2 linked regions of the Arabidopsis thaliana genome follow. The protein of the gene in region 2 purifies or fractionates together with the protein of the main gene of each other region. This does not show direct contact. Each region holds a gene or a part of one and is shown on either strand. Other genes may lie near its edges.

Region 1 (3,928 bases), about 11 Mb from region 2:
TTGTAAGATGTTTCAAATATGTGAGAGTTTAATTCCTTCCGAGAGTTTTTGTTTCTATTGTACACCAGTTTCAATTACTCACTAACATTGCAGCCAAAGCAGCCACAGAACCGAAATAACGATCGTGGTATATGAAGTTGATTTCTTCCATCTAGATCTTCCTAAGGCTAAGAGATTAACCAACTCCTTACTTTACCTTTGTGCTTAACTCGATTGAGAAACAAGTTTAACAAATATATAACGCTAAAAATGGATACATAAGTATAAATTTTATCAGCTTGAGTTGCTCTAAATCACAAACCCTTATCAGTCCTCACTTGCTAGTTTACTAGTTTTAGCTCAAAACCTGAACTTTATTCGGCAGAGCTACAAGGGAAAATTGCTAAGGATTCACTAAGAAACACATATCTAGAGATACAAGCGATGAACAGAGGGGAAGGAAGAAGCAGAGAATGGGTCATACACAAAGAAAACGTAATACTGAATTGTCACTTTTCATTAAATATCAAAATGGATCAGAGATGGCAGGCCATAACAGAGTCAAAACAACAGTCTACAAAAACTTGGGAAACTGAATATAGAAGAAGAAGAAGAACCAGACCACATGAACACAGACATTCCTTGAAGCTTTCTCCATCCTCCTGCATTATGATTCAATCCAACATAGACAGTTACACACCACATTATCTAACAAAAGATCACAGCTTAAAAAGAATTACGAATAGGTTCATGAAACTTACATATCTTGTTGAAGGCAACAATGTCACAGCTCTGGACATATTCATTGATCGGTTCAACAGTGAGTTGCTCTTCGATCATGGTGTCAATAGAGACAAGGTCGTCAACAATGGTGCACAAAATCTGCAACTTCTTGATACCATAACCAACTGGGACAAGCTTTGATGCTCCCCAAAACAAACCTTCCATCTGAATGGACTTCACAGCTTCCTCAAGCTTCTTCATGTCAGTCTCATCATCCCACGGTTTGATATCAATCAAAACTGAGGACTTTCCAGCTAATGAAGAATAATAAAAACAATGAGAAATCCAAGACATCTTCATATCATTCATATAAATTACAAGGGTAGAACAAAACCCAAACTTACATTCCTTCTTCTTTGTAGATGCCTTGACAGAAGCTGCTCTCTCTTCAGCAGCTTTCTTTTCCTCTTCGGTCTCCTCTCCGAAAAGGTCAACATCATCATCATCTTCTTCATCAGCCGCAGCATCCTACAAAACACACACATTCATATGAAATCTCCCCAATGCACAACTTTACAAAAACATTATGAGAAAACATAGAGACGATCAAGCATACCTTAGAATCAGCTGCAGGGGGAGTAGCAACAGCCTCCTCAGTGATAGGAGCTGATCCCTCAACAATGACACCGCTTCCTTCAGCAGAGACACCACTGTATATAGAAACATGATTATAACGAAACAATATTAGATTAATCCAGATTCCAGACAGCTAAAAACTTTAATCCATTAGTAAATGGAAAACAATAGAAGGTAATCAAGCTTACGAGATCCTCAAGAGGGCATCAATGTGATTGTACCAACGAGAAGCGTTCACATACTGTGAAGTTGGGGGCTTTGCAAGAGCTGCAAAGACGGTGATATCATCCTTTGAAGCCTGGTATCTATAAGCATACACAAAGGAAACTAATTATTACTCTTTTTGTTCAAAAAGGTAGAGATTAAGGATCTAATCTATTAGAGATGTTAACAACTTAATTGAGACAACACTTGAAAAAAAAGACAAATTTAAGAAATTGAAACTTACCCAGTAATGTAACTGCGAGTGAGAAGATGCTCGTCGAGCTTCTTCAATCCAGCATCAGAGTTAAGGTTAGGGAATGCTGCCATAGTTTCCGAAGCTCGAACCTTTTTCACTGATATAAAAAGCAGACAAGATCAGATCAACTACTAAAACCCCAACGATTCAGCAAAAACGAAACTTTATTTTGCTAAAAGACAGATCACAATTAGAAGCAAAGAACAACATCGAAAATTGATTCACTAAGACATCACTTAAGAGTTCCTAATCATGGGGATCAAAATACTCAAACTTCGAATTTCCAATCAAATACTATTATGACCATGGCTACTTTGAGATCGAAACAAACCTAATAGGAGGCGTAAGAACAAAAGATCTTACGGGAGAAATCGAAGAACAAACCTGAGCTAAAAGGCGCAGTCTTTGAAGATGAAGAGTGAAGGAGGAGGCAGAAGAGGATGGCGCAGAGTTCTCATAGGTACTTATTTAAGCTTCTAGGTTTTTCTTTAGTGGGCCTATATGTGGCCCAATTATCTCCTCAGTTAGGCCTTCTCTTTTATCTTGGTGGGCTTTACAAAAAAAAATCAATAAACCGGTTAAGATCTACACGATAGAGCATCAAGAAAACAATTCATAATTCTTCTGTCTATGAATGAAAGATAGTCATGTTTAAGTGAACCATGAGAAGTGTATATGGACCCAAATTTCCAGAGTGTCAGTTAGGAATAAATTAGCATTGTACTCAGAAATCAAAACTGTTAAAAAAAGTGGTAACAAGAAAAAATCTATAGAATTATTAATAAGGTAGTTTAGAATGATTTATGGAAAGATTAGATGTGTATGTATCTTACAAAATTCATCAATTTTCCTCTCTGATTAGTTGTCACTTTTTTCAGTTTTTCTCTTTTAAATTGTCATTTACTAACAAAATAATAAATTGAATTCATTTTGAAAATGATAGGTCACCCAATTTGTTTAATGTATAAGAAACTATCTAATATGTGGATATTAGTTATATTATCACCAAAAATGGCAAGCTACCCAAGCAAAATCGCAATATCGCTACAATGGCTGCATGTCTTGTTGGTTCGGTTCAAGATAATAAAGTTCTCTACATATTCTATTGATTCTTGTATCTAAAAGTTTATAGGCACAAACGATGCATCCGATGTAAACATGTTTTCTCGAATAAATTTTAAATTTTATTCAAAAAAAAAAAAAAAATCGCAATATCAAGTTCTTACTATTTTCTAAAGATGGAGTTGAGACCATTTGTTGGATCTCACATGCATAACGCCAAGAAAATCTAGTATACATACCAAGTTTTCATGTTTACAAACAGACACCACTTTAATATATATTTTACTAGTTATCTTTTTCAAAGTATTATTAGTTATTTATCACATAAAATAAATATAACATTCACGTACAAAAAAACTAAAATTTACAAAACCTTTACCCAAGAAAAAAAAACACTTTACAAAATCTATACACTTATGATATACATATGTTTTTATATAGTTTCTTAACACCTATTCTGATACGTCTAAGAAGTTGCATGTATGTTTTAGTCGTTGTAAAAAAGATTTGTTCAACTTTTCTATATTCTTATCACTTCTTTTTGTAAAAACAAAAAGCTATAAATTTTGTGGGGAAAAAAGTAACAAGATATAGTTTGGCCAAAGATGTACTTTGGTTTCTTTTAAAATTCCTCCTTGTTGAGAAAAAGGATTTCAGATTCCAATTGAGTTCCAACATTCTGGTTCAAATGCTTCTTTTCATAATCATTTTAAAGGAAGACTTTTTTTTTCCGGAACATACAGGTTTAATTCAATTTCAGAACTATATTATATCCTCAAACTTCTGTCTATATAACACTTTTAATGTAAACTTTCCTAAAACAATTATATCCATGTTATTTTATCGAAGCACAAAAGACATAGAGAATTCTTTTGGCCCTTTTTAAAAATTTGATGAGTGATCAACTTCATCGGCTGATCATTCCAAATATCCTGACTGATTTTTATTTTTCTTAAGGTAAATATAATCGACATTATTAGATTGATCGAATCGAACTCTAGTATTCTACTGTAATCTCTTAGTCTCACCTCATACAATCGTTGTGTGCGCCATGCCAAGATCACTAAA
Region 2 (3,928 bases):
CTATCGGGCTTTAAACCTGGCAATCAATTATCAATGAGATACATTAACCATTATGTTACTGCAGATCTTGGAGTAAACCAAAATTTTTTTAGATAAATCATGAATTAACCATATTCTTTTCGAAACAAAATATCTTTGAGTAAAGCAACAAATCTTTAGATAAATCATGAATTTACAGTATTAGGATTCTTTTTGTAACATATGAATATATTTTGTATATATATATACATCAATGTAAAGAATTACATGCATAAGTTTTTTTTTTTTTTTTTTTTTTAGCAACATGCTTAAGATTTACTATTACATATTTGAAGCTAAATCTAAAATTGTAAATAGTACGTTTTTAGGTTTTACAAAAGCCTTCAAATTATGTGGAATATAAACCCTAAATATTGAAGAAAAGTTATTCAAATTCTGCTTGCAAGCTCAAGAAAAATAACATTCATCATATTTTCTGCAATATTCAGATTATTCGTTGATCACCTAATATCAAAGTATTTCTTGGTTTTTTTTTTTTTTTTTTATAAGCTGCATGAATCTTTCCACTGTTTTAATTAAACTATGTCAATCGAATATGCGGAGCTGAATCGAATTTTATCCTTCTGACTTAATATTTCTCACACTCACTCACTCTCTCAATCTCTCAAGAACCACCAAAGAAAGAAAAACAGAACAAGAACAGAGGATCCAAGAAATAGGAAGAAGAAAAGACGTGAGGCTTTTACGATTTCGGGACTTGATTGAGATCCCTACGTTACGTAATACTTGCAATTCACTATCTTCTCAGTAACTGAATTTCTCACACGAAATTACATATGTTAAAATGTATATATATATCATACACAAGATGGATCCTTGCTCTACCTTTTTATAGCATGCTTTGTTACAACAACTTTTTTTTTAATTTGGTTGTTGTAAAACTTTGTTTCAACAATTATAACAGCCTTTTAACATAACATGGACATTAAACCAAACCTAAAGCGAGTCTACAGCAGCTCAATTATCGGTTCTAATCCGATATGCACATAGCCAACCCACGGTTAAAAGTTGATTTCATTTGATTTCCATCACCAAGGTCAACACTATCAACGTTTTTTGTTTTTTTTGGTCTAACTATCAAAGTTTAATTTCCCATAATATGAAGCTAACCATGCAATGTTGTAAACCCGAATTACATTTTGGTTTCTTAGACTTGATGATGAGTTGATGACTAATTGAAAACAAATTTAAGAGCTTACTAGTGTTCTCTCCAATGCTTCTTTTTTTTTAAATTGGAATTGATCACACACATATATATATTTACGCATATATGTATATATGGATGTGAACAATTAGTATTATTTTACAATAATAGTAAAAAAAAAAATGAACTTACAAATTACAAACCAAACTTGACGATATATGCATGCTCTTTGAGATCATCACACGAGTTGGTCGGAGCCACCTTTCGCAGTCTTGTCTGCTTCGGCTGGTCCATGTTTTTTCTCGGCTTTACTATCTGCGATTCTCTCTCGAGGGCTACACAAGATTCTTCCCAGAAAATGGGAAGCAATTGCCAAGAATATGATCACTATGACGATCAAACACCATTGCCAGATTGGAACCTCCATATCTTTAGTTTGGATTTTTGGTCACACAAAGTAAACGCAGTGCAGAAGAAGAAGAGGCGGAAGATGCTTGAAATTAAAGTTGTTGGTACTGTTGACCAAAAGGAGTAAGTTGTGAAGAAATGATACGCAAAGACTTGTGGAAGGTAACCAATTTTGTAAACTTCGTAGAAGAAATCGAACTCAATAAAAAAACATCTATATATGTATGACATACGAACAATAACATAGTTTAGTGGACCTACCAATAATGCCCTCTAATAGTTTTGGAAGCTACTTAATTAAAAGATTTTATTTCATTTTCACAAAGTGAAAGAAGGGTTACAAAATTCATCAATTTTGTATTTATTCAAACCCATACTTGGAGTTGGTGTATCAAAAACCTAATTATATTAATTGGCATTGTACGTGGTAACGTTTTAGTTTACATCTATGGATCAATCTTGCATAATAAGTTAATAACCCTTTTGAATTTAAAAAGCACAACACAACTTATTTTTAAAAAGGATATATCATTTTCGGATTTAAAGTTTAGTTTGTATGGTCTAAAACTTTGTTTTTGGTTGTCGTTTAGGATATCTTGGAGAGGAAGAAACCACATAGAGACATGAATCAGAGAAGTAACTTTGTGAGGTTGCTTCTACGAATTTCGATGAACTAGTGTTTCTTTTTCTTCTTTTTCAACAACATGCGAGTTTGGCACACCAAGGATATGGATACAACCAACTAAACTACATATCAAAATGGCCATGGGGAAATGTCAGCAAAATCTGTCAAAAAATGCAAAAACAAAACTCCAACTTTACTTTGGGTAAAACAATACGCTAATTTTTATTATGTTATACATAAATGCAAAAGTTATAATCGTTTAAACCTTAAAAATAAGCAAACCAAATTTGACAAAACCAAAAGCTAAACCGAATCAAACGAAAAAGGAATATTCTCCAAAACCGACTTCACACAGCCCTAATTTCCACACTCTAATACTATTTCTCGCCGCCGCTTTTGTATCTTCTTCTCTCTCGCTTTGCTCTCTCGGAATTGTTTTTGCAGAAAGTCTCTCGTAAGAATCAATCTATCAACTTCTTCTTCATATACGCTTCTCTCGTTTCAAAATTTCATCGACGATTAACTGATTTTTACTTGGTGTTTTCTTTGGTAACTAGATCTGAACTCAGAAAATCTCCGAGTTCGTATATCTTCTCCGTTTGAGCAATGGCGTTGGTAAGTACTCACTTCTGAGATCATTACACGTTTCATCAGATCCGTCACGATTGGTTTTACTGATCTGTTGATGATAGTTTATGAATTTTGATTCATGTATCTTAAATCTGGGAATATAGTTTGATTTTAGAATGATTTAGGTATCTTGGACGATTGTTTATTAATCTGAGAACTGGATTTTGTGTTGCATTGAAAAACTACTTTGGATGAATATAACTATGCAATTTCTGTTGAGTTTCATTGATGAAGTTTGTGTAAATCATACTATTTATCAGGTCATGCACACATACAAGGGAAACAAAGGTGCCAATAAGGCACTTATTGCTGCAGAGTATGCGGGTGTGAAGATCGAGGAGTCCGCAGACTTTCAGATGGGCGTCACTAACAAGTCACCTGAGTTCCTTAAGATGAACCCTATTGGAAAGGTATGGAATCTCTTTCGAGAAGTTTTGATTGATGTTTGCTGTAAATTCCTAGCTAATAAAAGATTATGATCCCACTAGGTTCCTGTGCTTGAGACTCCTGAAGGTCCCATATTTGAGAGCAATGCCATTGCCCGATATGGTATAACTTCATTTCCTTCTGTTTCTCTTTGATGCACCTATCTATAACTTGGTATTAATTGGATATGATGATTGTTTTGTTATCCCCCTTCAGTGAGCCGTAAGAATGGTGACAACTCTTTGAATGGATCCTCCCTTATTGAATACGTAAGCTCCTGTTTATCCAATGGCCTTTCCTTTTAAAATTATCGTACCTTTGTGTTTATCTCTTGTTTACTATCATTGATTCATGTCTATGTGCATGTGTTTACTTTTCAGGCTCACATTGAGCAATGGATCGATTTCTCCTCATTGGAGATTGATGCTAACATGTTGAAGTGGTTTGCTCCAAGAATGGGCTATGCTCCCTTCTCTGCCCCAGTAAGCTTTCCCTCATTTTTTGTGCCTTGTCTCATGCACTCTCTGTACTAACAAATCATGCTACTCCTTACTCGCTAAGATTAGTATTTGACTAGTCTAAGCTTGACTAATCTTTTTAATGGTTTTATCTGAATGAAGGCTGAGGAAGCGGCAATTTCTGCATTGAAGAGAGGA

The links.
Region 1: the proteins of AT1G57720 (region 2) and eEF-1Bb1 fractionate together in Arabidopsis thaliana (co-fractionation; one large-scale study listed by BioGRID). This does not show direct contact.

Annotation. Positions count from the first base shown.
Region 1 is NC_003070.9:10,637,227-10,641,154, reverse strand, and holds eEF-1Bb1 (translation elongation factor EF1B/ribosomal protein S6 family protein), read right to left. Parts: upstream 2,242-3,928; 5' UTR 2,183-2,241; intron 1,896-2,182; 5' UTR 1,870-1,895; coding exon 1,787-1,869; intron 1,644-1,786; coding exon 1,527-1,643; intron 1,413-1,526; coding exon 1,319-1,412; intron 1,231-1,318; coding exon 1,107-1,230; intron 1,017-1,106; coding exon 737-1,016; intron 642-736; coding exon of another isoform or gene 640-641; exon of another isoform or gene 639-639; coding exon 554-638; 3' UTR 373-553; downstream 1-372. UniProt on the Arabidopsis thaliana protein: EF-1-beta and EF-1-delta stimulate the exchange of GDP bound to EF-1-alpha to GTP.
Region 2 is NC_003070.9:21,375,051-21,378,978, forward strand, and holds the start of AT1G57720 (Translation elongation factor EF1B, gamma chain), read left to right. Parts: upstream 1-2,269; 5' UTR 2,270-2,670; intron 2,671-2,684; exon of another isoform or gene 2,685-2,773; 5' UTR 2,774-2,822; coding exon 2,823-2,831; intron 2,832-3,106; coding exon 3,107-3,256; intron 3,257-3,334; coding exon 3,335-3,395; intron 3,396-3,488; coding exon 3,489-3,541; intron 3,542-3,652; coding exon 3,653-3,754; intron 3,755-3,892; coding exon 3,893-3,928. UniProt on the Arabidopsis thaliana protein: Probably plays a role in anchoring the complex to other cellular components.